Macaca mulatta: one gene and its partners. The protein of the gene in region 2 interacts with the protein of the main gene of each other region in a pairwise test. Links are inferred from orthologs where the notes say so. Each region holds a gene or a part of one and is shown on either strand. Other genes may lie near its edges.

Evidence for each region. The genes of interacting proteins can lie anywhere in the genome.
Region 1: the proteins of KASH5 (region 2) and NRIP3 interact in binary tests that used the Homo sapiens proteins (3 or more experiments, as listed by UniProt). The two-hybrid records come from large-scale screens. The link is inferred for Macaca mulatta from reciprocal best matches to the Homo sapiens genes KASH5 and NRIP3.
Region 3: the proteins of KASH5 (region 2) and SLC41A2 interact in binary tests that used the Homo sapiens proteins (3 or more experiments, as listed by UniProt). The two-hybrid records come from large-scale screens. The link is inferred for Macaca mulatta from reciprocal best matches to the Homo sapiens genes KASH5 and SLC41A2.

The regions. Positions count from the first base shown.
Region 1 is NC_133419.1:56,530,406-56,534,497, reverse strand, and holds the start of NRIP3 (nuclear receptor-interacting protein 3), read right to left. Parts: upstream 2,809-4,092; 5' UTR 2,166-2,808; coding exon 2,120-2,165; intron 1,788-2,119; exon of another isoform or gene 1,716-1,787; coding exon of another isoform or gene 1,703-1,715; coding exon 1,542-1,702; intron 1-1,541.
Region 2 is NC_133424.1:61,841,092-61,844,601, reverse strand, and holds part of KASH5 (protein KASH5), read right to left. Parts: intron 2,210-3,510; coding exon 2,164-2,209; intron 128-2,163; coding exon 63-127; intron 1-62. UniProt on the Homo sapiens protein: As a component of the LINC (LInker of Nucleoskeleton and Cytoskeleton) complex, involved in the connection between the nuclear lamina and the cytoskeleton.
Region 3 is NC_133416.1:112,189,637-112,193,945, forward strand, and holds the start of SLC41A2 (solute carrier family 41 member 2), read right to left. Parts: upstream 2,809-4,309; 5' UTR 2,708-2,808; exon of another isoform or gene 2,606-2,707; intron 1-2,605. UniProt on the Homo sapiens protein: Acts as a plasma-membrane magnesium transporter. Can also mediate the transport of other divalent metal cations in an order of Ba(2+) > Ni(2+) > Co(2+) > Fe(2+) > Mn(2+).

The DNA.
Region 1 (4,092 bases), on a different chromosome or scaffold from region 2:
TTAATTCTTCTCTTAATATAATACTTCCTTCTTTATTGATTGACGAGCATTCTAGGAACTAGGATAGGATTATTTGGCCTGAAGGAAAGAATATTTCTCGAACCTGATTTGTTAAATGAATCAAGATTGCTTTAAAGTAAAAGAAGGGAAAAGAGAGTTACCTCTTTTGCAGGAGCACATTTCAATCACTCATCACTCTGGGTTAGCATAAATCAGGGAAACTATCCTGCAGCTTGTGCAAAAAGCAAAGCAAAACAAAAAAACACAACTTTCAAAAAACAGAGCAAGATAACTGAAGTAGACAAACCCTGCAAAGAAGCAACTAATGGCAGGGAGGAGAAAAATTATACTGGTACCTGTGTGTCATTAGAGCTGTTAAATTAAAAAAAAAAAAAAAAAAAAAAGGAAATGGATGCAGAAGCTCTGCCCTCCTGGGGCCAGAAATGGCAATTTCAATGAATTAGAGCTAACAACCACATCCAGAATTAAACATTTCAAAAGCTTAAAATAAAAAATACTAGAAAAATTATGCAGAGCACCTATTTCATTTGTTAAAAGGCATTTAATTAGCGTTTCATACATTACCACCCAAATGAACAAAGCGATTGTGAAATTCAAGAAAACAATCAAACTACAAGAAAACTCCAGATAAAACTACAAAGTTAAACATAAACTTGACCCAGGACCACTACAGAGGCTGAGGGATGACAGATACAGTTCTTTATATTGGTCACCCTTTCATTCTATAGAAAGAGGACAGTACCATTTTTTACCCCAGGGCTCCTGTCCTGGGGTGCTTCTACTTAATGCCAAGAAAAACCGTGCTAGAAAAAAAGACTGCAACCACCCCAGCCCCAAATGCACACATTAGCTGGTCGGTAAGATGGAGCAGCCTGGCTTCCTCCCTCTACTCACTCCTTGGGGGCGGGGCTGGAAGAGGAGAATGATGAAGAGATGTTGGGGGTTCAGGAAACCTTCACATTCGACCCCTTTTCTCTCTCCCCACTCAGGATGGAAGGTCAAAGGTACATAGGACCAAAACTAGAGAAGTGGATTTTGCATAGGGGGACAATGGATTCAACAAAAATCTTCTGGATCTGGCAACTGTCAAAAAAAAATCCCTTTCCACTTCTTTCCCCCTCACACGAAGTCATTAGGAATCACCTCTGTCTGGGTCATAGAACCAGCCACACAGCGTAGGAGGCACAAGCCCCACGAACAAAATTCGGTATTAAGAATAAGGGGAGAGAAAGAAGACCCGAGGGCAAGAGGGCAGGGCAGGACCTCTTCCTTCCTCTGGAGAGGAGACATCCAGGGAGGAGATACAGCCGAGGCGAGCGCGAGCTGAAAAGCTAGGACGGAATCCCCACCAAAACCGCAGCAGGGGTGCTGGAAGGGGAGGAATCCGCGACGCAGCGACCGCGAGCCAAGGGCAGCGGCGGGCCGGGCCGTGACTCAGTGAAAGCCGCAACGGCCGGGCCTCGGAAGACCGCGGGCGCGAAGCCGCCGGGGCCAGGGCAAGAACGGCGGCGGGGGCTCACCGTGTCCTTGGACGAGCCCAGCTTCTTGAGGCCGTCCAGGGGCAGCAGGTCGGCGGAGTCCTTGTGGATGAACTGCACCGCCTGCTTCATCCGGCGCTGCTGTCGCAGCGACGCCGCCTCCCGCATGTCGGTCTCCTTGCGGCCGCCCTCAGTGAGAAGCCCTGAGTAAAACATCCTTGAGACGCCGGCGGCCCGGTCGCCCGCGGCTCCCCAGCAGCCTCAGCCTCGAGCTCGAGCTCCTCCAGGGCCGCAAGGGCCCCGCGCCGCACCTTTTATAGCCGAGTGTGACGCCGCGTGGAGCAGCCAGTGCGCGCGCGGGGGGCGGGGCCGGCACAGAGTCCACGCCCCGCGAGGCTCCCTGGCGTCCCGCTTGCCCTGCTCACCCGGTGGCAAAGCGGGAGAGGAGGCGGCGGCGCTGGTGGGAGTGACCCGGCGGGCCGAGAATCCACAGCGGCCTCTTCACCCAACCGCCCCCTCCTGCGTGGGAGCCCCGCATCCCTTGGACGGGTGTGGGCTCTGGGGCCCGATGCCCTGGCAGCCCCGGCCATCTCCACCGCTGGCCGCGGGTCCCAGCTCACCTGTCCACGCCGTGGCCGACCCGGGGATAACCGACAGCCAGGCCATGCCTCGAGTCCCGCCTCCCGCGCCGCTGCTCGGCTTCTCGGAAACGCACGTCCACGCCGCCAGCCGGGGCTCCAGCGCCCACCGCCCGGGCCCGGAGGACTGGCGGCTCCCTCCGAAGTTGGGAGCGGTCGGGTTTTTTCCAACTTCAGGTCGGTCCCCACCCACCGGGCCACGTGACTGGGGAGGGGGCAGCCGGTGCAGGCGTGTGGAGGAGCCTTTCGGGACCTCCTCCCCCGGGCACCCTCTGCCTGCAGCCGGGCACCCGGCCTGCGTTTCCGAGCCGGGGGAGCAGGTGCGGTCGGAAGCCCGCGGGCGGGCATAGAACGGGGGAGTGGCGAGGGTCCCCCACCTCCGCGGGAGCGCACGCGGCTGCGAGCCCTACATCTGCTCTCCGACCAGAGAAGCACCTGTTTTTCTCAACAAGTACTAGGACTTACCATCTAAAGAATCATTCACCGTCCCTCCAGCGTCCTTAGTAGGAGCGATTGGAACCCGTTTTTCTTCTTGAATACATATTTTTAAGCCATTCTAATCAGGTTTCAGGCATCCTGGATTCTGGTCTCGACGTTGTGATTTGGCACAAACCACGTTTCCATTCTGGAAACCACAACAACCCCCTCCACCCCATCACACAGGAGCAGACCTGGATGAGAAATATGTGCACTCAGCAAAGAACCAATGATAAAAGTAACAATATCGACGCTTACTGGGCCTTTACTATGTGCCAGGTACTGGAATAGACACTTAAAATGTAGTATCTCATTGGATCCTGGCAACAGCTTGTAAGATAGTATTCTCATCACCCCCATTTTACAGGCAAATACCTGATACCTTCTGTCTGGCCTCCTGAATGCTCCCTAGTTCCATTCCAATCCGTTGTTCACTGTGCTGCCAGAGTAATCTTCTCAAACCATAAGTGTGATCATCTCACTTCCCTGCTAAGAGCACCTCAAAAGGCTTCCTATTGCTCTAAGAGAAACCCACATTCTTGCATGGTCTGCCTAGACCCTGCATATCCACTCTGTGCTTCAGCCTCATAGCCCTTCTTCCAGTTCCTTCCAGTCACCTGTTGCCAAATGGCCTGCCTTTGACTGTCCTGCTCCCTCTGTGTGCAGTGTCCCCTCCTACGTTCTTCAGGAAACTCCTATGCTTCTTCCAGACCTCAGCTCCATTATCATTTCTTTAGGAAAGCCTTCTCTGACCTTCCAGAGAGGGTGAAGTCTCTCTAATTATATACTATGTATCTCTTGGGCATTTCACTTTCTGTGGGGGTAGGGGTAGGGGGGTACTGGTTGTTTAATTTGTCTCCCCCACTGATTGGAACCTCCAGGAAGGTGACTGAATCCGTTTTTTGCTTAGCATTGATGCCCTAATAGGCAGAGGATTCTCAATAAATACTAGTGAAAGGATGGCAGAAAGTTAAGGTTATACCAAAGAAATCAAGTGGTAAAGCTGGCATCTACTCCCAGAACCTGTGCTGGACTACCTAGATCTGGAGAGACTGGGTTTGACCTCATGAAGTTGCTGCTTTTCCTCTGTTCTGCCTTAACACTTGCCCCAGTTTCAGACACTGTGGGAAAACAAATCCAGAAGGCTGCTCACTTGGCTTCAAGGAAGCCCCAGGGCTGGATTCTTCCCTGTGTGCCCACCCTTTACACGCCCCTACACACGGAGGACAGGGTTTCTAGGAGACAGGTGGGATTGCTGCTCACCTTCCAGTCCCCTGGCACACTTCCAGCAGTGAACAACAGTGGCTGCCCTGGCCCCTTCTGTCCCATCACCTGGATCCCTGCCTGATAACTCCTCCAGGTGTGGGTCACCCAGGGAACAGTGAAAGACAGCTTTGCCGTGTCTATCTAGGATAGGTGCCTCTGAGCTTGGCATCAGGACAGGTCCAACAGTGAGGGCCCCTAGGGCTTGGGCTGGG
Region 2 (3,510 bases):
GAATCACTACTGGGTTTTTCCTTGTCCCCAGTTTCCCTCCCGGACCCCGTGGGTCCTATTACCTCTCTGGAGGGCTTTCTGGGATGTCTCCAGGGCGAGGGTCTCCTAGAGGCATAGGGAGATCAGCCTGGGAGGACAAAAGAGATTCATTTGAAGCACTGGGTTCTGGACTGAGAGGTCCTCAGGTCAGCCCACTGGACATAAGCGACCACACAGAAGGTGGTGGAGCTCAGGAGTTAAGTGAGTGCACTTCTCTGAGATGCGCTGCCAGGTTGGGTTCCCAGTTCTGCCAGCCTCTGGCTGAGGGTCCTTGGCATGTCACCACACCTCTCCGTGCCTCTCTTTCCGCATCTGCTGGCCAGGGATGTCCCCACCTCATAGGGTTAACATGGTGACTAAATGAGTAAATGTGGGGGGAAAAAAAGGTGGGGGCAGTAGCTTGGACAGCGCCTGGTACCTAGTGAGTGCTCCGTGTCTGTGTGAGCTATTCAATATCATCACCTCCATTTTCCACTGGATTCTGGAAGTATGTAAGCTCTCCGAGGGCAGAGACCACATCTTCCACAGGTGCCCACCCCTGTGCTGGCCTCATGCAGAATCCTGTCTTCCTGCCTATGCCAGAATCAGCAGACGCTTTACTAATTAAAAACACGCCATTATAGGCCAGGCGCGGTGGCTCACGCCTGTAATCCCAGCACCTTGGGAGGCTGAGGCGGGCGGATCACAAGGTCAGGATATGGAGACCATCCTGGCCAACATGGCAAAACCACGTTTCTACTAAAAATACAAAAATTAGCTGGGTGTAGTGGCACGTGCCTGTAATCCGAGCTACTCAGGAGGCTGAGGCATGAGAATCGCTTGAACCCAGGAGGCTGAGGTTGCAGTGAGCTGAGATCACGCCCCTGCACTTCAGCCTGGCGACAGAACGAGACTCCGTCTCAAAAACAAAAACAAAACAAAAACACCATGCCATTATAAATGGCATAATTACAAATGTATTGTTCTCATTGTTCATGGTTGCTATACTGAAATATGATTGATTTTTTATTTTGACCTTTCACCCAGCAACTATGCTAAATTCACTGATTAATTCCAACACCTCATCTGAAGATTCAAAGATCAAAGCCCCAGCTGTCCCTCCAGGGTTAGGCCCCACTCACTGTGCCGCCTCATCCCCCATGTCTCCCTGGAAGGGCCTCACCTCTATGGGTCTCTGGCCTTCCTACCCCCACACCTTTTCGACTCAGATGAGGATGATGAATGACAATAATAATGGCAGTAAATAAAAACAGAACACCGATCACAATCAATATGTTCACCTTTACCACCTGCTGTGCCAGGCAGGGACCCAGGCCCTTTATGACGTGGTCCTTAACCCTCCTCCCCACCCTAGGAGCTAGGAAGAGATTATCCCCGTGTGAGCTGTGAGGAAGCTGAGGTGGAGCCCAGTCTCTGCAAGGGAGTGTGGTATGTCGAGAGGAGGTGGGCTTCGGGGCCAGGGCGCTGGGAGCTAAGCGTCATGGAGGCAGCCATCTTGGCCAGTTTGGACCCTGGAGAGCCCCAAGGGCCCTGACAGTGCCTGACACACAACAGGCAGACTCCAGCCCAGCTCCTGCCTTCCTCAGCTCAGAACCGAGGGCTCCTCACCTCTCCTTACCGAGTTTCTTTCCCTGTCCTTGCCTGAGAACAGAAATCCTCACCTCCACCGGGCACTGGGCTCTGAGGAGCAGAGGAGCTGGCCTGTGTGGCTGCAGGCAGGGGGGCTGTGGGCACTGTGCCCCCAGGGAGTTCTGAGGCTGGCTGGGGAGGGCCAGCCCAACCTCTCCCGAGTGTGGGCACATGTGCGTGTGCATTTATGCAATCCGGGGGTGCAGCCATGTCTACAAGGCCTGCGGTGTGGTGGCTGCAGCCCTGTGTGTGTGGCTGGGGGGCTCCCCTGGGAGCAGCCTGGCCGCCCACCAGCCTCCAGGCCTCCCCCTACCTCGCCATAGCTCTCATTAGCTACAGCAAGGGCCTTGTTATCTCTTGGCCAAATGATTTTTCTCTCTGCTCCTGAGGAGTTGGGGTGTGAGGTTGGGGCTTGGGAAGAGTTGAAATGAACGACTCAGCCTCTGCGGGCTTGGAGTGGATGGGGACTGGGGAGGGGTGCTGCGGACTGCCTACCGTGACCTGGCTCTCTGCATCCTCCTCTTCCTCTCTTCCGGTCAACCTGAGGGCCAACAAAGTCACTGCTGGCATCGTCCTCTCCTCCCTGGTTCCCTTTGCCTACTATGGGCTGGGAGGGAAGCCTTGGAGCAGGGTCTTAGCACAGGCCCGGGAGCATGGACAGGCCTGGGGGAGGCCAGGCAGCATGGACGGGCCTGGGGGAGGCCAGGCAGCACAGATGGGCCTGGGGGAGGCCAGGCAGCATGGACGGGCCCGGGGGGTGTCCTGCATATGTGTTTTTCACATGAATTTTCAAAAAATGATCCAAAGGGTCTGTGCCCACTAAAAGAATAAGGGGGCCTCTTCATCTCAGAGTGGTTTTCTCAGCCACTACTTCCCCAGCGGATCCCCCAGCTGGGAACTGAGGCTTCCAGCTTTCTCACCCTCCAAAGTACCAGAGATTCAGGCCTCTGTAAGGCCCCAGAGCACGTGTTGAAACGCCCTTCCTGTCTAGTGGGTTGAGCCATTTTTCAATGGCTGTCACTGGGTACTGTCTGAGGACTGGGACTCCAACTCAGACCTCCCAGCCCACAGAACCCAACTGCTGGAGCTCTTCCCCATGCCCAGTCCTCTCAGGTGTGCAAGCCCCTCTTCCAGGAGGACTGAGGGGTCAGCATGCCACTCATTCACTCATTCACTCATTCACTCACATCTTCCAAGGAGCAGACCCTGGGCCTATGGGCTGGGAGATGAGACCTGGCCCTGCCCTCAGCGAGTCTCAGAGTCTTGGTCTAGGAGGACATCTGGCTCCCAACCCTGCCTCGGGGGAAGGCTCCTAGGGAGGCCCCTCCTAGGGTCATAGCCCTCTGAGTCCCTGAAATGCTGCTTTGGGGACTCAGGCCTCAAGCTGCCCAGCCTGAATGCCCCTTAGAGACCCAGCCATCCACACCACCAGCCACTGCCTTCATTGGGGAGCAGAGATTCAGCCCTGCAGTTGCCACTACCACCAGCTTCAGACCCAAAACCCTCAGAGATACCCTCAGGAATACAGCTGTGCTCCCACGCAATAAGGGATCCAGGCTTTTAGGCCCCAGTCAGACATACACTGTCTGATCCCCTGAAACTTCTACTTGGGACCCAACCCCTCTCAAGGTCCAAGTCCTCACCACTGGCTACCTTTAGGGGCCATTGTATTCACCAGCTTCCTCACTCCCAGCTTTCCAACCTTCGGATCAAACAGCCCCTGCCCTCTGGAAACTCGGAAACTCGCATGGCACTTGCCTCCCCGACTTCCACTACTGCTCAGCCCCTTCTCCCCTCCTTTCTCTGGTGACGCAAAGGGAGGTCATAGCTCCAGAGCTCCCA
Region 3 (4,309 bases), on a different chromosome or scaffold from region 2:
ATGAAATAAGCACAGCAGCATTCATTTAGCTGTAAGTGGCTCTTAACCTTTGTGCCATCAAAAATAGTTATTTACCACCCACACATGAACATAATTGTAATAAAAACTACACTGCACAAACTTAAGAAAACAAGATTCTCCACTTTACTGAGAAGTTAAACATATAAAAATTTGAGTAATTTGTTCTTGCCATTTATTGTTAGTTTGTTCAGCTGGCCACCAATATAAATTACTTGCAATTAACGTGATAACAGGGATTTTCAAATTGAGCATAGAATATATGAAAGTACCAATTAAGGGTGGTCTCTCTTGACTCCAGTCAGGAATATGCCTTCTGTAGCCTTGCTCAAAACACCAGGGCAGTAAATGTAAAGGGGCAGTAAGATGTCCAAGAATGAACACATAGGGTATTCTTACAGACTGAAGTGGCACTTATTCAACCTTTACCCAATAGTAAGCATTAAGTTTTTCAGTATCAGATTGGCTGGATTTTTTTCAAGTCAGTGCCAGTATCCAAACCTATTAATAGAATTTTTTTCCATAAAGGAAGAATAGGGCCGGGCGCGGTGGCTCAAGCCTGTAATCCCAGCACTTTGGGAGGCCGAGACGAACGGATCACGAGGTCAGGAGATCGAGACCATCCTGGCTAACACGGTGAAACCCCGTCTCTATTAAGAAATACAAAAAACTAGCCGGGCGAGGCGGCGGGCGCCTGTAGTCCCAGCTACTCGGGAGGCTGAGGCTGGAGAATGGCGTGAACCCGGGAGGCGGAGCTTGCAGTGAGCTGAGATCCGGCCACTGCACTCCAGCCTGGGTGACAGAGCGAGACTCCGTCTCAAAAAAAAAAAAAAAAAAAGGAACAATAAAACTCAATAAAAAGCCAAGCAACCCAGACTGACCGCGGTGGCTTATGCCTGTAATCCCGGCACTTTGGGAAGCCGAGGTGGGCAGATCACTTGAATTCAGGAGTTGGAGACCAACCTGGCCAACATGGTGAAACCATGTCTCTACTAAAAATACAAAAATTAGCCAGGCAAAGTGGTGCATGCCTGTAGTCCCAGCTACTCGGGAGGCTGAGGTAGGAGAATCGCTTGAACCCCGGAGGTGGAGGTTGCAGTGAGCCAAGATTGCACCACTGCACTCCAGCCTGGGTGACAGACTGAGAGTCAGTCTCCAAAATAAATAAATAAATAAGTAAGTAAATAAGTAAAGAAAAAGAAAACGCCAAGCAACCCAATTAAAATATGGGTAAAAGATATGAACAGACATTTTCTCCAAAGAAAATATATGAATGGCCAATAAGCACATGAAAAGATGCTCAGCATCTCCATTCATTAGACAAATGCAAATCAAAACCACAAAGAGATACCATTCCACACTCACTAAGATGGCTATAATAAAAAATAACCAGTAAAAAGTAACAAGCCTTGGGGAAGATGTGAAGAAATTGGAACCCTCATACACTGCTTGGTGGGAATGTAAAATGGTACAGCTGCTTTGCTTGGCAGTTCCTCAAAAAGTTAAACACAGAGCAATTGCCCTCCTAGGTATATATACCCAAGAGCACTGAAAACACATGTCCACAAAAACCTGTACACAAATGTGCATAGCAGCATTACACACAATGGCCAAAAACTGGAAACAACCCAAATGTTCACCAACTGATGAATAAACAAATGTGGTACACTGATACAACAATATTAATATGCTATAAAAAGTAAAGTACTGATACATACTACAACATGAGTGAAACTTGAACACATTACGGTATGTGAAAGACGCCAGACCAAAAAGCCACATATTGTACGCTTCCATTTATATGAGATTTCCACAACAGGCAAACCCACAGAAACAGCAAGTAGATTAGTGGTGGCTAGTGGGGTGGGGTCAAGGGGAAATGAGGAGTGACTACTAAGAGAGACAGGGTTTCTTTTGGGGATGATGATCTGGATAGTGGTCATATTTGGAAAACTTTGTGAATATATTAAAAGCCACACTTTAGAAGAATGAGTTTTATGGCATGTGATGTATATCTCAATTTAAAAATTGTCCACTACAAAAAAAGATGACATATATACGTAATATACATATCAATGTATATAGGTAGCACATACATATGTGTCATCTCTCTCTATAAATGAGCATTTGGGCTTTTAAAATTGAGATATCCTCCATATATATAAAGAGAAGAATGAAAGAACAGGGTGACGGGGCCCTCGCGGAGCCCTGAACAGGCATATGGGGTGTGCCCGAGCCAGCCTCGCAGCATCTCCATCCCAGCTCACCTTCAGCCATCACTCAGTCAACCACCCGCCGCCTGCCCCTGCCTTGGGCGCCCGAGACCGCTCATCCGCGGCGGCCGCGGAGCAGCTTCCCATCGCCCGATGTGGGGCAGGCGCGGGGGCCTGGGCTCGGGCGCTACCCGGCGGCCCCGGGAGGCGTCCGCAGGGGGCACGGCGACTCGGGCGGGACCGCTCCCACCGCTCCCCGCGCCCCCGCCGCCGGGTCCCGAGCCCAGGCCTCTCGGCCCCACCTCCCTCCTGCACCTGGGATGCGCCCGAACGCGGTGCAGCGGCTGAAGCCGAGACTTCCCCTCCACCGTCACCTGTGCCGGAGCGCGGCGGCGGCAGCGGCCGGTGTGAGAAGGGTCCCCGTCTCCTCAGACCGGACCGAGACACCCGGGGCGGGGGATGGAAGGGGCATTCACCTAGTCCCCAGCACCGGTGGTGGCGGGGAGGACAGCGGCTCCCAGCCCACGGCTCCTTCCTGCTCCCGCGCCTCCTCGCTCCGCGGCGTCTCAGAGCTGACAGCCCGGCCGCCGGCGCCCGCGGCCCCCTGACTCCCTGCCGCCCCGCCCCCGCGCGGCAGTCCCGCGCAAGCGCAGCCGCGCCGCCGCCGGGGAAGCCCGGGCCTTGGTGATGTGGCCCGCGGGGCGGCGATCTGGAGCGACAGCGCCGCCCCGCCCGGACCCCGGCCGCGCCCTGGCAGACAGCTGTCGGGAACGGGGGCGCTGGACGACGGCGAGGGGGCAGTTTTCTGGGGATCCTGCCCAGGAGAGAAGGGCTGTGGCGTCCTTCCGCAGCCCTCTTCCCCACCAGCCCACGCACGCCCACTTCACCGCCTGCTCCAAGGTCCGAACCCCCGAATCCATGACTCATGATTTCTCTTCTCAGACCAGCGGCCTGTTTTTGGCTGAGGTCACATTTCTTGCAGACAGGGGTTAAAACCGAAGCACGTGTCTTTCGGCCCGGCAGCGCATAGTGTGGGCAGTGCAGGAGCCGAGAAGGGCAGGGACCACCGCCGAAGGGGTGAGGTTTAGGGCAGCCCCGTAGCACCCTCCCCGTGCCAGGCAGGTGTAGGCGCCAAGCACACGGGGCGCTGAGGAGTTGGCTGGGGTGCCAGGCTTTTCAAGTTTCCCCACACTTGCTTTTAAACCTAGATCAAACTGATCCAAAGTCTGCAGGTAAATCCAAGAGCTCATTTATTTTATTTACAAAACTATTTATTGAGCATCTACTGTGTATGATTCAGGGAATGAGACACACCCCAGGGATACTACAGTGAACAAAAGCAAGGTGTTGGTACGAAGCCTGTTACTTTACAAATTACACAGCTATTGCTAGGATTGGTGGCTCATGCCTGTAACTTCAACACTTTGGGAGGACCAGGCGAGAGGATCGCTTGAGGCCAGGAATTTTGAGACCAGCCTGAGTAAACACAGAGAGACCCGAAGTAGCTAGGAGACTGAGGTAGAAGGATCGCTTGAGCCCAGGAGTTCAAGGCTGCAGGGGGCTGTGATCGCATCAGTGCACTCCAGTCTGGGACACAGAGTGAGACCTTGTCTCTAAAACAACTCAAAATGACACAGCTAATGATACTCTTTTCCTCAAATCAAAGCCTCTACCAATTCCAACCCACACCAGTGATTTAGTAGCAGCTTTTTCTGGTGCTGAAGGACACCGGCATACATTTATCCAGGTTTTGTTTTTTGTATTTGTTGTTGTTTTTTTTCCCCCCTTATCCTTTGCAATCAGACTCTGAGCTTTAACCTTCACCTTCAGGGTGAAGGGTGCGTCCGTATCACTCTTGGCCATCTGCAGTCATGCTTTTTATAATGGTTCATCCTGGTGTTCCTCACTACCTAAAAATGAAAGTATAATTGCAAGGAATATGGAAAAGCAATGTTTTGACTGCATTTCCAACTGGTTTTTGTTCTGGTTGTTTTTTGAATTACAGATCATTAGAAAGTAGCTGCTCTTGAAAGTCTGGCAGAAGTTCCACCCAGTAAGTGTTCCTCCCCTGAGTGTGT